Lonchura striata: one gene and its partner. The protein of the gene in region 2 interacts with the protein of the main gene of each other region in a pairwise test. Links are inferred from orthologs where the notes say so. Each region holds a gene or a part of one and is shown on either strand. Other genes may lie near its edges.

What was found.
Region 1: the proteins of NTAQ1 (region 2) and MIF interact in binary tests that used the Homo sapiens proteins (3 or more experiments, as listed by UniProt). The two-hybrid records come from large-scale screens. The link is inferred for Lonchura striata from reciprocal best matches to the Homo sapiens genes NTAQ1 and MIF.

Annotation. Positions count from the first base shown.
Region 1 is NC_134620.1:3,542,701-3,549,886, forward strand, and holds MIF (macrophage migration inhibitory factor), read left to right. Parts: upstream 1-4,339; 5' UTR 4,340-4,468; coding exon 4,469-4,576; intron 4,577-5,396; coding exon 5,397-5,569; intron 5,570-6,401; coding exon 6,402-6,468; 3' UTR 6,469-6,669; downstream 6,670-7,186.
Region 2 is NC_134603.1:12,563,050-12,570,322, reverse strand, and holds the start of NTAQ1 (protein N-terminal glutamine amidohydrolase), read left to right. Parts: upstream 1-4,258; 5' UTR 4,259-4,291; coding exon 4,292-4,365; intron 4,366-4,939; coding exon 4,940-5,039; intron 5,040-5,678; coding exon 5,679-5,729; intron 5,730-7,273. Other genes in the region: ATAD2 (ATPase family AAA domain-containing protein 2), read right to left, coding at 3,711-3,917. UniProt on the Homo sapiens protein: Mediates the side-chain deamidation of N-terminal glutamine residues to glutamate, an important step in N-end rule pathway of protein degradation.

The DNA of each region.
Region 1 (7,186 bases), on a different chromosome or scaffold from region 2:
GCACGTGGTGTCCAGACAGGGGAGAACAGGGCCAAGCAAGTGGTGCCTCAGCAGGATCTCCTTGGCTTATCCTGTACTGCTGTGGTCCGATGCACCTTACACCCAAACAAACTGTAAATGATGGCCAAAACTAATTACCCAGACAACTCCTGGTACTCAGGCTAGCTTGTTTTACCAAGAGGGTTAATTGCTGCTGAGTTCCAACGATGCGCTGCTAATAAACGTGGGTAAGAACAGCACAGAAGCCAGATGAATGCCAGAGGAACTGATCCCCAGATTCCCCAGTGTGTGGATCTGACACTGTGTATTAGCAGCAGGGAAAATCGTGGGCAGGTCATTAATATTAACATAGATACTTTCTTCTGTTTTCCTGATATCAAGAACAAAAGCAGGATTAGGCTGTATTTTGTTTAACGAGGTGGATGTTGATTTGGGCCTCTGCTGTGTCAGCTCACATTTACCTCAGCAGGGAAGACTGCAGCAGGAGCCAGTGAGGTGCAAAATCTCTCTGGAACGCAATGCGGCAGCAGGACCATTGCACACCCCCTCGCCCCTGACCTTCCCACACAGGCAGGGAGAGCCTGGTGGCTCGGAGGAGGTGCTGCAGATATTACAGGTCACTGAGCTCCTGGAGCACCTGGACTAGGAAGCCTAAAATCTGTGGAGTCTTTGTACTGGCCTTTGACACAGGAGTGAGTATCTTGGAGTAGAATGCAAATCTAGACAGTAAGATGTTAACAAATTTAAGCCTTGCATATCAAAAACATGCACTTATTTTCACTGCAGTTTAGGTACATAAATGCCTTCCTGGATTTTCAAAACTTTTCTTAATACAGCAAAGAAAATAATATTAATTTTCTTCTTCCAACAGTATTTAGCAGATCTCTCCTGATCAAGTGATGTCCTTCGGTGGCTCCACAGACCCTTGTGCTATGTGCTTTCTCTACAGCATTGGAAAGAGAGGGGAGCAGGAGAACAAGGTCTGGTCCAAACTGCTTTGTGATCTGATGAGCAAACAGCTGAAAATACCATTTGACAGGTGAGCTCATACAGCAATTTGTCTGACATGACTTTCCACAGACTGTTAAAACTATTCATCCCAGGCTGGTCCTTTGGTGTTCCCTATTAATGTGCTGATTAAAGAGATTAAATGCCAAGTCAACTGAGCAACTCCCCAGCTAAAAAGAAAAAATGAGCCACTGCATGAGCTGCAATGCCACTGTCCAGAAGCTGCAGAATTCCTTGGTTAAAATGATGTAGGTTCAGGCATGTATGTACCCACAGACATCATGTGCAAAAGACCAGGTACAGACACAAGAACGTGATCACTAGGAACTCCAGGATGCAAGTGGATGAGGCATTAAAAGGGGCAGGAGGAAAGTGTAGGGAATGCTGGGCTCCAGGACAGCTTGGATGGAGACAGAGATCTCTGCAGGCTGCTCTTGGGATATCAGGTGTATTAGGGATGGTGAAAGGTCTTGCTTGGAACTGCCAGACGCAGCTGAGGCCTGAGGGGATCGGAGAGGGGAGAAACAAGGGGTAGAGAGGATGTTCTAGGAGAGGGTGGAAGTTCCAAGAGGGGGGAAGTTCCAAGAGGGGGGAAGAAAGTTCCCAGAGGGTGTCTGGCCCCTCGGAGCCCCTTCTCAGGGGGCTTCAAGGTGGGCTGGAACAAGACTTGGGCCAATGGGGTCACAGACACCTGATGTTTCAGGGGAGGGTTACAGGTGTGGGATGAACAGTACATTTTGGGGGTTGAGATGGAACAGTCCATTTGACTTTTGGACTTATCTGTAGGTAAGGGTATTGTCCAGCCAGTAGGGAGGATTGTTTTCATCCTGGCTGTACTATTGTGAATAATTATATTTATCCGTCCTTCCCAACAGGAAAGGAGTGTAAGACCTTGGAAGGATAAAGCCCATGGGGAGATCTGCAGCATGGCCATGTGTCCTGGTGCAGGAGCACCCTGACCAGCCTGCAGCACTCTGCTCTCAGCTGATAATGGTGCCTGTCTTCCCTTCCAGAACCTACATCAGCTTCTTTGACATCAGTCCTGGCAATGTGGGCTGGAATAACACCACCTTTGCTTGAGGTGCCCTTAGGTGATCACAGCTTATCCCTGAACACTCATCATGGTTTGAGAACTGCAGTTCCAGTCACCTTCTGGCATCTGCCAAATGCTGCTACTCACTGCTGTTTAATATCTTGCCTGCTGCTTAAATAAAAATGCATCAAAAATCTTATGTCTGAAACCTTCTTGTTATGCTGGGAAGAACTGTAGTTGAGATGAAGGGTGTCTTCTCAAAATACTCTCTTAAGAGAAGCTTTTCTTTCAAAAAACTTCAGTCATATATGAATATTCCTTTTGCCTTTGTCCTGTCCATGCTCAAGAGATACATCTCAAGAAGAGATAAATATATCTTGACCTGGTTTCAAGATATATTTAAGTTAATAGATGTGCAAATGTTGCACACGGACCTCCCTTCAAAAGGAGAGATAACATTGTTATCTCTTATTTAAAAGGAATTGATTGCAGTCCAGGTCTTCTTTAGGCCTAACACTACAGGGATATCTAGCTGAGTAGCAGGAAAACTTGTGCTGTGTCTCCCAGGCCTCAGCACAGGCAGAGAGAGTGAGTGGAAAAAACCACTGTTCACTGCTGTGCCCTCCCCTTTTCATCCATTGAACAATTTGTAGTGACAGTGAAGATTAGAGCACAGCTCAGAATGAGGCAGAGGCACAGCAAGCCACAGTAATTCCCAGGGACTGAAGTGGTGAATTAATTATGAAAGGAAAATTTGCATCCAAATATTTATTATTTAAGCCCTTGGTCAGATAAGAACATTTGCTTCCAAAGTAAAATAAAAGATTGAGTAGAGATGTTTCCTGAAATTCTATAGTTAAGTGTATTGTGAGTTTTTTCTGGAAGAGCAAACCTTCTAACACCCGTTTTCTGAACTCTATTGTTAACATCCCATTGTGTCCCTACCACAGCTTTGCTTTGCAGCCACAGACTTTAAATACAGACCTGAACCTCAATCAATAAAAATGCTTTGTTGGGATAACAAGCTGCTTTGGTGAAAATGTCTTTCTTAGTCAGGGAGGCAAAAGAGAATTAAATTGCAGATGTCTCTCCATCGAGTGGCAGCATAGCCAGGGGCTGCCACTCTGGGCTGGCAGGCCACAGGCCAAGCACACCAGTTGTGAAGTTGCTCTCAAGCTTTTCTCCCTGCACAGGTAGAAAACACCACCTCCATGCAACAAACCTGGGAGGCAGGAAGGTGAGAGGAATAAGTAGGACTATGCAACAGCAGGGAGCTGAGGATATCAAAGAGGGGAAACTTAATCAGTTCTTAGTGGCTGTTCTTAAGCACTGTTAATCACTAGAAAAGGAAGTGCTCCAGTCCTCAGCATTATAACCCGTGTCACTCCAATGCACTCCTGTATGACACCATCCCTGACTCCTCATTCAGGGCTACGAGTGTTCACGTCTGTAACATGGATGTGTTCATGTCTGTAACATGGGCAAGCTCTCTAGCAGCACGACTGCTGTGTGTGCAATGTCTGGGCAGAGAGGGCTCCGGGCCAGATCCTATTTAGCCTTCCTGTGAGTCATTTCGTGAGCAGAGCAGCGCTGCCGCCGTCGGGGCAGGCAAGAGCCAGGGTGGGGAGCCATGCCCTGGCAGCCTACGTGCACCACATCACACAGCGCAGCATGCGGCTCGGCTCTGCTGCCTCTCACCTCCCAAAAGGCACGCACCAATTCATTCCGAAGCAAAACGAAACTCACTTCTGCCTTTTTCCAGTAGAAAAATATGATGCGCAAAGTGGGAGGCTGAGGAGCAATAGGTAACTTTTAATTCGACTGAAATACATTAGATAATAATTAATAGGCAGCAAGGGACACGTTTCTGCTTACACCGAGCTAAAGCTGTACACACCATCAAGCAAAACCACTACAAGTGTTACTTTATTTTGAAAAGGAAAAAATTTTCCGAGTCAGGGCAAGCATCCCTTTTTGCAACCGCCAAGCCAAGGCCTATATCCCTCTCTGGGCCGAATCCCGCAGAAATCAGTGGGAGTGCCCCAGAGCTACTATCGCAGCGTTCATACCACGTTATGTATGAGCTGCCCAGCGCTCCCGGACTCCGTTCCAGGAAGGAGCCTGCAACAAACCCTCAAAAAATGTTCAGTAATAGAAACAAAGCCAAGGAATAACGGCGGAGCGGGGGGAACCTCCGGTCGAGAGACAGCCGCGGGAAAAGTCAGCACGGCACTGCGGGGACCGCGGAGCCGGTGCGAGCGTGTGTCCCCGCCCCGCTCCCTCCCCTGCCTGCCGGGCGGGGCCGCTTTACGTCCGGGGCGGCTTGGCGCACTAAAAGCGCCGCTGACGCCTCCCCGCTCCACTGTGTCGGTCCCGCCGCTCGCTTAGGTTTGCATCGCCGGCCCCGCCACCCCCACCGCCGCCACCATGCCCATGTTCGCCATCCACACCAACGTCTGCAAGGACGCCGTGCCCGACAGCCTGTTGGGCGACCTCACCCAGCAGCTGGCCAAGGCCACCGGCAAGCCCGCGCAGGTGAGGGCGGGGAGCGGGGCGACACGTGCGCGGCGGGCCCGGCGGAGAGGCGGCGCGGAGCGGCCCGCGGCCGTCTCCGCTCCCGCGGGCCCGGGGCGGGCGGGCCGCGGCGGCCGCACAGCGCGGCGGCGGCCCCGCTGCTCCGGGGGAAGGAGCTGGTGCCCGTTCCACGCCGCGGCGCCGCGTGTGCCGATGCCCGGCCCCTGGCGGGAGCGGCACCGGGCCGGCGGGGGCGCGGCGCTCACGTAGCCGGGGATGTGCTGCGCCTGTGCTGGCGGTCGCGATTCGAGCGGCGGAGCTGCGCAGTGGCGCGGACGCACCCGGGCAGAGGCTCGGGCAGACCGAGCGCTCCGAGCAGCTCCCGCCGGCTCAGCCGTGGGACACGGCCCCTCCCGGGCCAGACCGCGGCAGCGCCAGGAGCCCGATGTGACGGAATCGCTGCCCGGCTCTCCGGCGGGTTTGATTTGGGATGTGAGCCCTGGCCCGCAGGCAGTTCTGGGGCCTTTATCTCGCTCCGCCCCGCGCGGTGGCGAGGCTGCGGCGGGCAGCAGCGCCTGCCGCGCCGGCGGCTTTGTGCACACACAGCCGCGTTCCTAAAGCTCAGAGCCGGGCCGAGGGTCCCCGCAGCCCCCAGGGCCGTGCCCCCCATGGGGGCTGCCGGGCCTGAGCCTCCCCTGGGGCTGGGAGGGGCGCAGGGGGCAGCACTGAAGAGCTGCCTGACCCCAGTACAACTGCTCTGTGAAGAGTTGGTACCTAAAGCAGATTTCCGTCAGGAGAGGGCATTTCAGACAGCCTGTAACAGAGTGCTTCCCTCCCGCAGTACATAGCTGTGCACATCATACCTGACCAGATGATGTCCTTTGGTGGCTCCACTGATCCCTGCGCGCTCTGCAGCCTCTACAGCATCGGCAAAATAGGAGGGCAGCAGAACAAGACTTACACCAAGATGCTGTGTGATCTGATCTCGAAGCACTTGCATGTATCTGCAGACAGGTAAGGCTGGGACATGGTTTAACCATATTTACCTGGCTTTCTGAAACCGCTTTGAGAAGTCTGTTTAAAAATTTAAAATGCCAGGAATAAATCCATGTGTTTTGGAAAATTCCAAGTGATTACTTGCAGCACTTTCACGTCCACATAAGAATTCAGTGCCTGTCTCTTTCCCTGGAGAGTCCCCTGTTCAGTGGCTTCCTGCTTCTGAGAGTAGGGAAAAACACCACAGCACTGACAAGCTGCCCAGTGTGTCTTTTGCCTCTGAGGTGTGATGTCTTGCCCTCTGGGGAAGCAAGGCTGAAAGCAGGAGCGAGGAGCAGTAACAGGCTGGAGCTGAGACAGAAGCAGAAGGCAGCAGGCTGAGAGCAGCTCCCCTGCAGGCTGCGGAGTTCAGCGGTGCCTGTGCAGCTGTGAAGGATGGGAAGAACCTGGTGCCATCAGGGTTGAAGGGAGACAGCAGAGCCAGGCCTGAGGGCATGCTTAACTCCCAAGGCTGCCAGTCTGTGTGACACATGTGAGGGCCTGCAGGGCTCAGAAACAAAAGGGGCTGATCTCCGGAAATTCTTGACAGGCTGCAAAACAAAATCTGTCTGGTGTCTGGACAGTCCCTGACTGCATAATAATTGTATTTTAAAAAAAGAGGAAAAAGTACAGTTTTGAGGACTGAGAAATACTGAAGCTGTTTGGAGGCTCCACCAGTTTTTTTTGTAAAGATGAAGCTTGATGCTTTTTCAAGCAGAAGAATGGGAAGCACTCTCCCCTGTTATGTTATCCCAGCTTATATAAATGAGTTAATAAGGTCATTGTATTTCTTCCTGTACCTCATCTGCAGGGTCTACATCAACTACTTCGACATGAATGCTGCCAACGTGGGCTGGAACGGCTCCACCTTTGCATAGAGCTTTCCCTTCTGTCTGAAGAGGCTGTTCCTGGAGCTCCCCTCACCCTGCCCTGTAGCAGAGACCGCAGCACAAATGGCCCCATGTTGCACTTTGTGCACTCTCACAGATTGATGTCTCCTTGCTAGTGTGTTTAAATATTGCTGCTTCAACATTCCTCTGTTTTCTCTGTGTAGAAAACAAATAAAGATTTAGAAGTAAGCTATGTGTGGCGTAGGCTTTGGCAGGTTGGGGATGGAGTTGGGCAATTGCTAACGTATCTGTTTCACTCTGATCCTAAAGTAAACAAAAGAAATGTTTTGGGTTTGCCTGTGTTTCTTAGACACAGTATTTCAAGCTATGGTGGTGGTGCCTGGGGCTGGTTCCTGACACCACTCCAGTGATTTTTACCTTGCCTTAGGTAAGGCTGTAGGTGTATTCAGGGCTGCTTGTTGATCTGAAGTTGGTTTTTGGGTTGTGTCTGCAATTGCTGCAGTTCTTGGACCAGCCCTGTGCCTGCTGCTTCAGGGCAGCTTTCCTGTGAAGATGTGCTCACCTGTGTGTGGCCAAACGAGCAAGGAAGGAGTGCTTTTGCTCGCCGAGGGGAAATTACCCAAATTGCTACACTGTGGGTAATACATCGCTATTACTCGCATTGCTACACTGCCTGCTGCAGGCAGCAGGGAAGGCCCTCAGTGCCGCAGGAGCTGTGCAGGGGCCTGCAGACTGTGGGGAACTT
Region 2 (7,273 bases):
ACATTTCCAAGAAAAGACCCAAAATCTTTGATTTCAAAATTGGTTCAGTGATCCCAGTAACCAAAATCTCACCTATAACATGCAGTTGTTCCACCCCTTGGGAAGGGCCAAAAATTACACTACAAAAGGAGGGGTTTGGGGCAAAAAAACCCCAAAACAACAACAACCAACCAAATAAGCAAAAGAGAGAGAGGAAAGTCCCTCTGCTTGCTTTGGATCAGCTGATGGACTGTGTCACTCCTTATCCCTGAAGGGACACTTTCAGGTGAGCTTTGTGCTTCCCAACTGTCTTGGAACAGACCTGGGAATATTCACTTATATCTACTGCTAATAGATCTCTGTAACTATTCCTTCTGTAACAGCATATTTTAACACTCTGTAGCTGGTGCATTTACCACCAGCAATTCAGAATCTGCTTTCCTGTCACTTCAATTACCTGCCCTATTTGCAAATCTGGATCCTGCAAGTGCCTACTGAACTCGGCCAGGCAGCCAGTGTCCAATGGGCTATAATCACAGCTTAGGCCCAGCTGCCCCCAGCTCTTCTGATCTCTGAGGAGCAGCTGGAACCTAAGGGGGTTCATTTCTGCTAGATTTCTATAGCTTTAATCCAACAAAAAAAATTCCTAGTACTGGGATTAAGATCTTTTTGGAAGAGTTTTCCTCCTGTCTCTGTTCCATTTATAATGGCATTCAGAGGGATATAAAAATACTTCCTTGCAGAGGGTAGCATTTATCCACAGAAAACCAAAGGGAACTCAGCATATAGTTCTTCATGGATGTTCATCTTGTTCACATTGATGTTTCTGCAAGGAGGATGCTATCGACTTTTACTATGTGAGGAAAGCTGCGATGACCATGGGAAGCAGCTTGTTCCATTTACAACCCAAGGTCTCATTGTGAGTATGCCAAACTAAATCTCACACTAAAAAGGGCAGAAAACAGACTGGACTATTCTACTTCTTCACACTAATATTACCAAGAGATAATTCCACTGACTGATGGAGATGATGAGTGAAGAAGGACCACAAAGATGTTGAAAGGTTATGCAGGGAGAAAATTACAAGGGCCACAGCCCAAACACAATTTAATCTAACTACTGCTGTAAAAGACAACACAAAACATTTGTACAAATAAATCAGCAAGAAAAGGAAGACTAAAGAGAATCTCCATCCTTCACTTGATGCACAGGCAATGGCATATGGCAATGGATGAATGGATAAGGAAAAGGCAGAAGTACTTTGCCTCAGTCTTCAACAGTAAGACCAGCAGTCCTCATGATACCCAGACAGGGACAGAGAGCAGAAGGAAGCTGCCACAATCCAGGAGGAAACAGTCAGTGACCTGCTACACCACTTGGACACCCACACTTCTACAGGCCCCAAGGGGATCCCACAGCACACAGTGCCACATCCAGTTACTCCTTGAACACTTCCAGGGGTGGTGATGCCTTTCCCTCCGCAGCCTGTTCCAAGACTCAACCACCCTTTTTGTGTTAAATTTCTTCCTTATGTCCAACCGGAACCTTTCCTGGTGCAGCCAGAGGCTATGTCCTCTTGGTCTGCCACAGGTTACCTGAGAGAAGAGATTGATCACCCACAACCTCCTTTCAGGTAGTTGTAGAGGGTGATAAGGTCTTCCCTGAGTCTCCATGCCTCCAGGTTAAATACCCCCACCTCTCATCTGCTCCTCATTACTTTCTAGACCTTTCTCAGCTCTTGTCTTTCTCAGGATACATTCTAACACCTCAATGTCTTTCTTGTCTTGAGAGGTCAGAACTAGACACCGGATTCAAGGTGTGGCCTCACCATTGCTGAGTACAGGAATCACTGTCCTGGTCCTGCTGATCACATTGTTTCTGATACAGGTAAGAATGCCCAGACAAAAAGGGAACTCAAATATAGTTCACAAGAACAAACTTGTTCAGCTTTGGGAATTATAAACCTCCAAGTAGGGTTATAGACCTGGAGAAACAGGGCTTCCAAAGGGGTAGTAGCCACTTTGGATGTCACTGGGAGACTCACTCATGAAACTTTCTGGGACTGGAAGCCTGGAAGAGAATAAAACCAGCAGATGTTTGATAACCTTAGATCTCCTGTTGTATGCTTCTTACTGCCCAGGGATGAAATGAGCTGTATAACTAAACATAGACAATATGCTGATATCAGAAAAGAACCCCAAAAGCTGCCACTACCATGTCCTTGCACATCAAGACACGAAAGAGGCATCAGGACTTGAACATGAAGCTAGCACCAGTTCTCATGATCTCTCTTGGAGCACTTCTACATTATTTATACACAGACCCACAACAGAGCCCAGCATCCTATAAATGGGGTGATGACTTCACTTCAAAGCACAGGAAAGGTTGACAAAAAGGAAGGAAAAAACCCAAAAAACAACCTTGCAACCAGTTTCATAACTATGATTCTGCTTTGGTTTCAGGCATAACTTTAATTTCCTCATTCCTGTCTTGATGACATGCCAGCAGTGTTATCTGCCTAATGCTGCACAGCCTTCCCTCCTGTGCAAAGGCTGAACGAGCTCCTGACAAACATTTCTAGTGGAGACTGCAAAAACAAAGCTGTGATCTTTAAGAAGATCCCATGACTCTTTGTAAGGGGGGGGGGGGGTAAAAAAACCCACCACTGCAAGGACTTTTTTCCTTTTTAGTTCAGTAGTCTTGAATAAAATGGCACAAAATGTAAAAATATAAAATTAATTCATACAACTGAGACTCATGAAAGACTTCTGCTGGAAGGAAACAGAGTCTTTGAGAAGCATCACTCCAAAGTAGGGCTCCCCTGAAGAGCAGACCACTTCTGAGTTGGATCAGGTCTGCCTTTATTTGTCACAGAAATGCAGGACAGCCTGCAGAGTAGAGCCTGACTTGGAAATAGCAAAGTTTTAGTTTTTTGAAAGCTATATTAAAAACAATGGAAAGTGAAATGATTCAGTTATTACAGTTGCAATGCTGAGATGCACAGGCCACTTGATATCTATCCTTTACCATCTTCTAGTAGGGCAGATCAAGATTATCAAGAAAGATTATCAATAAGATAATCAAGAAAGCTCAAGTAACATTTTCACTGGTTTAGGTTATGCGCTTTAATTAAGTACAGATGAGCCCCGATTTCTAAACATTTTCTTTTTTAGAGCATACAAAGCACTATTTGGATACAATTGACTAAGGAGTATTTAGCAGGCCCTTCGGGCCAAGCGGAACGCACTCAGAGGTCCCATGTATTTCGTGTCGCGCTGGCTTTGATGCATTTCTGTCATCTAAACAGAGAGCGCTCTAAAAGCATTACCGCAACCGATGCAAAGAGCTTTCTAAGATCTTCTCAAGGTAACTTTTTCAGATAGGAATTGCACCAAAATAAACGGGGATGGGGAATGGCATACAACACACCAAACCAGAGGCGATGCAGGTTAGTATTGCCAAAGACCGGCTCTCAGCACGCTGCCACAGCCCCCGCACCAGGGCTAGTGCCGAGCCCCTTTTAGCCGCGGGGCGGCCGGGAACGGCGGGCGGGCCGGCTGCTTCTTCACGCACCCCCAGCCGCAGCCGCCTGCCCCAAACACTCGGTTCTCCCCTTTCTCCTCCAGGGAACACCACTCCGCAGCGCTTTCTCCGCTCCTCCCCTCCGCCCGGCCGGGCCCAGCGCAGCGCCGCCCGCCAGGCCGCGCTCACCCCACCCCCCCCGCACTCACGGCCTCCTCGGCCCTCCGGGCGCCCCTGGACACCGCGGCCCTGGCGGACCCGGAGCGCGTCCATACGCGGTGGCTTCTGAGCGCCGGGGGCTCCAGCGAAATGAACTCGGAGCTGGACTCCAGGAGGTCGAAGGGGGGCCGGCGACAGCGGCTGTCGCGGGCAGCCATGCGGGGCGGGCAGGCAGCGCTGCTCCGCAGCACCACCATGGCGGGGGGAACGGGACGCGCCCCGCGCCCGCCGCCGCGCGCGCCGCCCGGATCCCTCCGCCGCGCTCCCTCCCGCCCGCTCCGCCTGCGGCGCCGCTCCCGCCCGCGCGGCGGAAGGGCACGCGGCGCACTGCGGCCGCGCGTTTGGCGCCCAAAACTCGGAGCGCTGCGGCGCGGGGCGGGGCTGGCCCGGCTCGTCCCACTCCGCTCCGCCCCGCCCGAGGGTCCCTGCGCCGCCGGCCGCCCCTCCGGCTGTACCTGCGAAGTGCCCGCGCCCAGCCGGGATGGCTGCGGTTTTCTCGGGAATGGCGTAGCGGCTGCCTCCACCGGGCCCAGCGCTTCCTGCTTCGCCCTCAGCCCCGCTCAGAGCAGCCATGGCGCGGCCCGAGGCTGGTTATGAGGCGGCGGTGCCGCCCCGCCCCGCCTGCACCTACAGCAGCTGCTACTGGTAAGGGAGGCGGGGGCGGCTGAGCCGGTGCCCCTCGCACGGCCGCGGGGCGCGGGACAGCCCGGGGCGCCGGGTCAGCCCGGGGCGCCGGCACAGCCCGGGCCGCCGGGACAGCCCGGGGCGCCGGGTCAGCCCGGGGCGCCGGGTCAGCCCGGGGCGCCGGCACAGCCCGGGCCGCCGGGACAGCCCGGGGCGCCGGGTCAGCCCGGGGCGCGGGACAGCCCGGGCCGCCGGGACAGCCCGGGGCGCCGGGTCAGCCCGGGGCGCCGGCACAGCCCGGGCCGCCGGGACAGCCCGGGGCGCCGGGACAGCCCGGGCCGCCGGGACAGCCCGGGGCGCCGGGACAGCCCGGGCCGCCGGGACAGCCCGGGGCGCCGGGACAGCCCGGGCCGCCGGGACAGCCCGGGGCGCCGGGACAGCCCGGGCCGCCGGGACAGCCCGGGGCGCCGGGACAGCCCGGGCCGCCGGCGGGAGCGGCGCGGCTCTGGGCTGAGCACGCTCAGGGCTCGTTTCTCGGCACGAAAAATGCAGTTGGAGGAAAACAAAATCAACGACCGGTTATTGTGTTTTGCAGCGAAGAAAACGTTTGGAAGCTTTGTGACTACATCAGGAGTCAGGATCGGTACCCTTTAGAAGAATTTTATGCTGTTTTCATATCCAATGATAAGAGGATGGTGAGTCAAGGGGATGCGATCAGAGCCAGCTAGGGAAAAGCCCGGGCCTTCCGACCGCAGCCCGGTGCAGGTGAGAATGGTCCCAGCCCAGTGTTGGGAAGTGAGCCTTTAGCCCAGCCTGTAGGTGAGATACACCCCAAACCTGTTTTGTAGCTCACTTTGCCTCGGAGGTGTGCCAACCACACCGCCTGAGATCTTTTAATTATGCACTGCATTCAGGGCAGTAGAATGAGGCATGGTGACCCTGTGAGCTGTGGGAGTAATTCTGTTTGTAATCTGTCAATATAGGAGAATAGTTATCTTTATAAAATCATAGAACCATTAATAACCATAAGGTTGGCTAAGACCATCAAGTCCAACTGTTAATCTAGCACTGCTGTGTTCATCACTAAACTATATCCTCAAGTCTTTTGGATGTTTCCAGGGATGGTGATTCCATCACACTTCTTTTTAATGTGGTCCAGAATAGTATCTCCAACTTCATGCTCCTGAGAGAGAAACTAGAAAAAATTTCTTACTGCAATACAAATGTAAGCTGAAGAAATTGATAGCTTAGCAAAGAACTAGCCAGTTTGCCTGAAAGGAATCTGTATTAATCTGAAAGATTTTATTCACTTCAGGTTCATTTATAACTTTCAGATTCCACTCTGGAAGCAGAAATCTGGACATGGAGATGAGCCTGTTGTCTGGGTAAGACATTCATTACTCTCAAAAATTTTGAGTGTGTGTCTCTGTAGTTGATAGCTGCAGGATCACACATGGGCATGGAACAATCTGTTCCATCTGAACATAAAGGAACACTTTCTACTCCGAGGGTGATGGAGCATTGGAGCAGGATGCTCAGAGGGGTTGTGGAGTCTCCATGCTTGGATATTTTTAGAAGCTATCCAGACACAGTCCTGGGCAGTTTGCTTTAGGAGAGTGTCATTGAGCAGCAGGTTGATGTCCTTAAGTCCCTTCCAACTTCACACATAGCATTGTTTTGTACTAATATTTATAATTATTTTACAACAGATTTATAAATAGCCTAAATCTGGTGCTCCTTTGCACCCTCCTTCATAAATTAATAGCAGGACAATCAGTAAAACCTATAGGTGACAGATCTTAATTATAGTAAGAATGCATAATAGATTTGTGTAAATTATTATCTGGGTATTGAGGCTGCCAGCTCTGTGGTATTGTAGGTAGATGACTCTACTTGTAAGAAGTAGATGGATGAACATATTTATGTAGGCCTGCCAGATGATAGAAGAGTGTAAGTTATATGTGTTTTTAGGTGTCAGCAGTGAAACTGACCCATAAACAGTGGCTTTGAAGTGTCATTTGATCAGTCAATGTAGTTCAGTAATTGCTGATGCAGAATTCCTTGGTATCCTTGGTATCCTTATATAGTCCTTTCAGTTATCTGGTACAGAAAAAACTATTTCTTGTGGCAATTTCTGTTTCTGAAGTTCTGCAGAGTAATCTGCAAACTTGTGAAGTTTTCTGATTTCTGAATCATTCACTTTCTTCCAAAATATTGGTAGCTTTCCAGTACCAAAAAAAAAACAAAAACGATTTGGTTTAAAAAGAGATCCAAGTGCTACAGAGAAGACCTAAAAGGGAATAGCAGAGTCAGGAAACACCATGGCAGAATGTGGATTTCTCGTAAAAATTCAAGCATTCAAAGGTCTTTTAACTTTGACATTTCAATGAATGATAGGTTGTGTAAAACTTGTAAACTAATTTTTCTTATACTCTCTAATGGGTTATTCTAAATATTGTTGAATACAGTTGTGTATATATATACTGGTCTGGTGAAGCAGATTGCCCAAATCTTTTTAATTTAAATTTCTTTGTGGTTTTAATATTGAGAGTGTCAAAAGACAGTGCTCAACCCTTTTTGTGAGTGGATTAAATGTAAAGTAAGTTGTTAGGGGCTACCTTCAATTTAATTTTGGAAAATGGCAGTGCACATACCTGACCTATAATGTAACTGCAGTGTCCTCAAATCTCCACCTGTATTTCTTACAAGTTAAGAAGTCAAAACTGCACTGAATAACCTAAAAGTCTTGATAAAATAGTTGCATTGAAAAAGTGATGTAGTACCCACAGATAATTTCCTGTAGCAGCTCTTGAAGCTGGGAAAAAATGTCTTACCCCTGTGGTCCTCCTGATGCGAGCTGTTCGCTGGTTTTTCAGTGGTGTGCTGGTTTTTCAGGTGCTTCTGGCAGCTGAACACTCGACACTCAAAT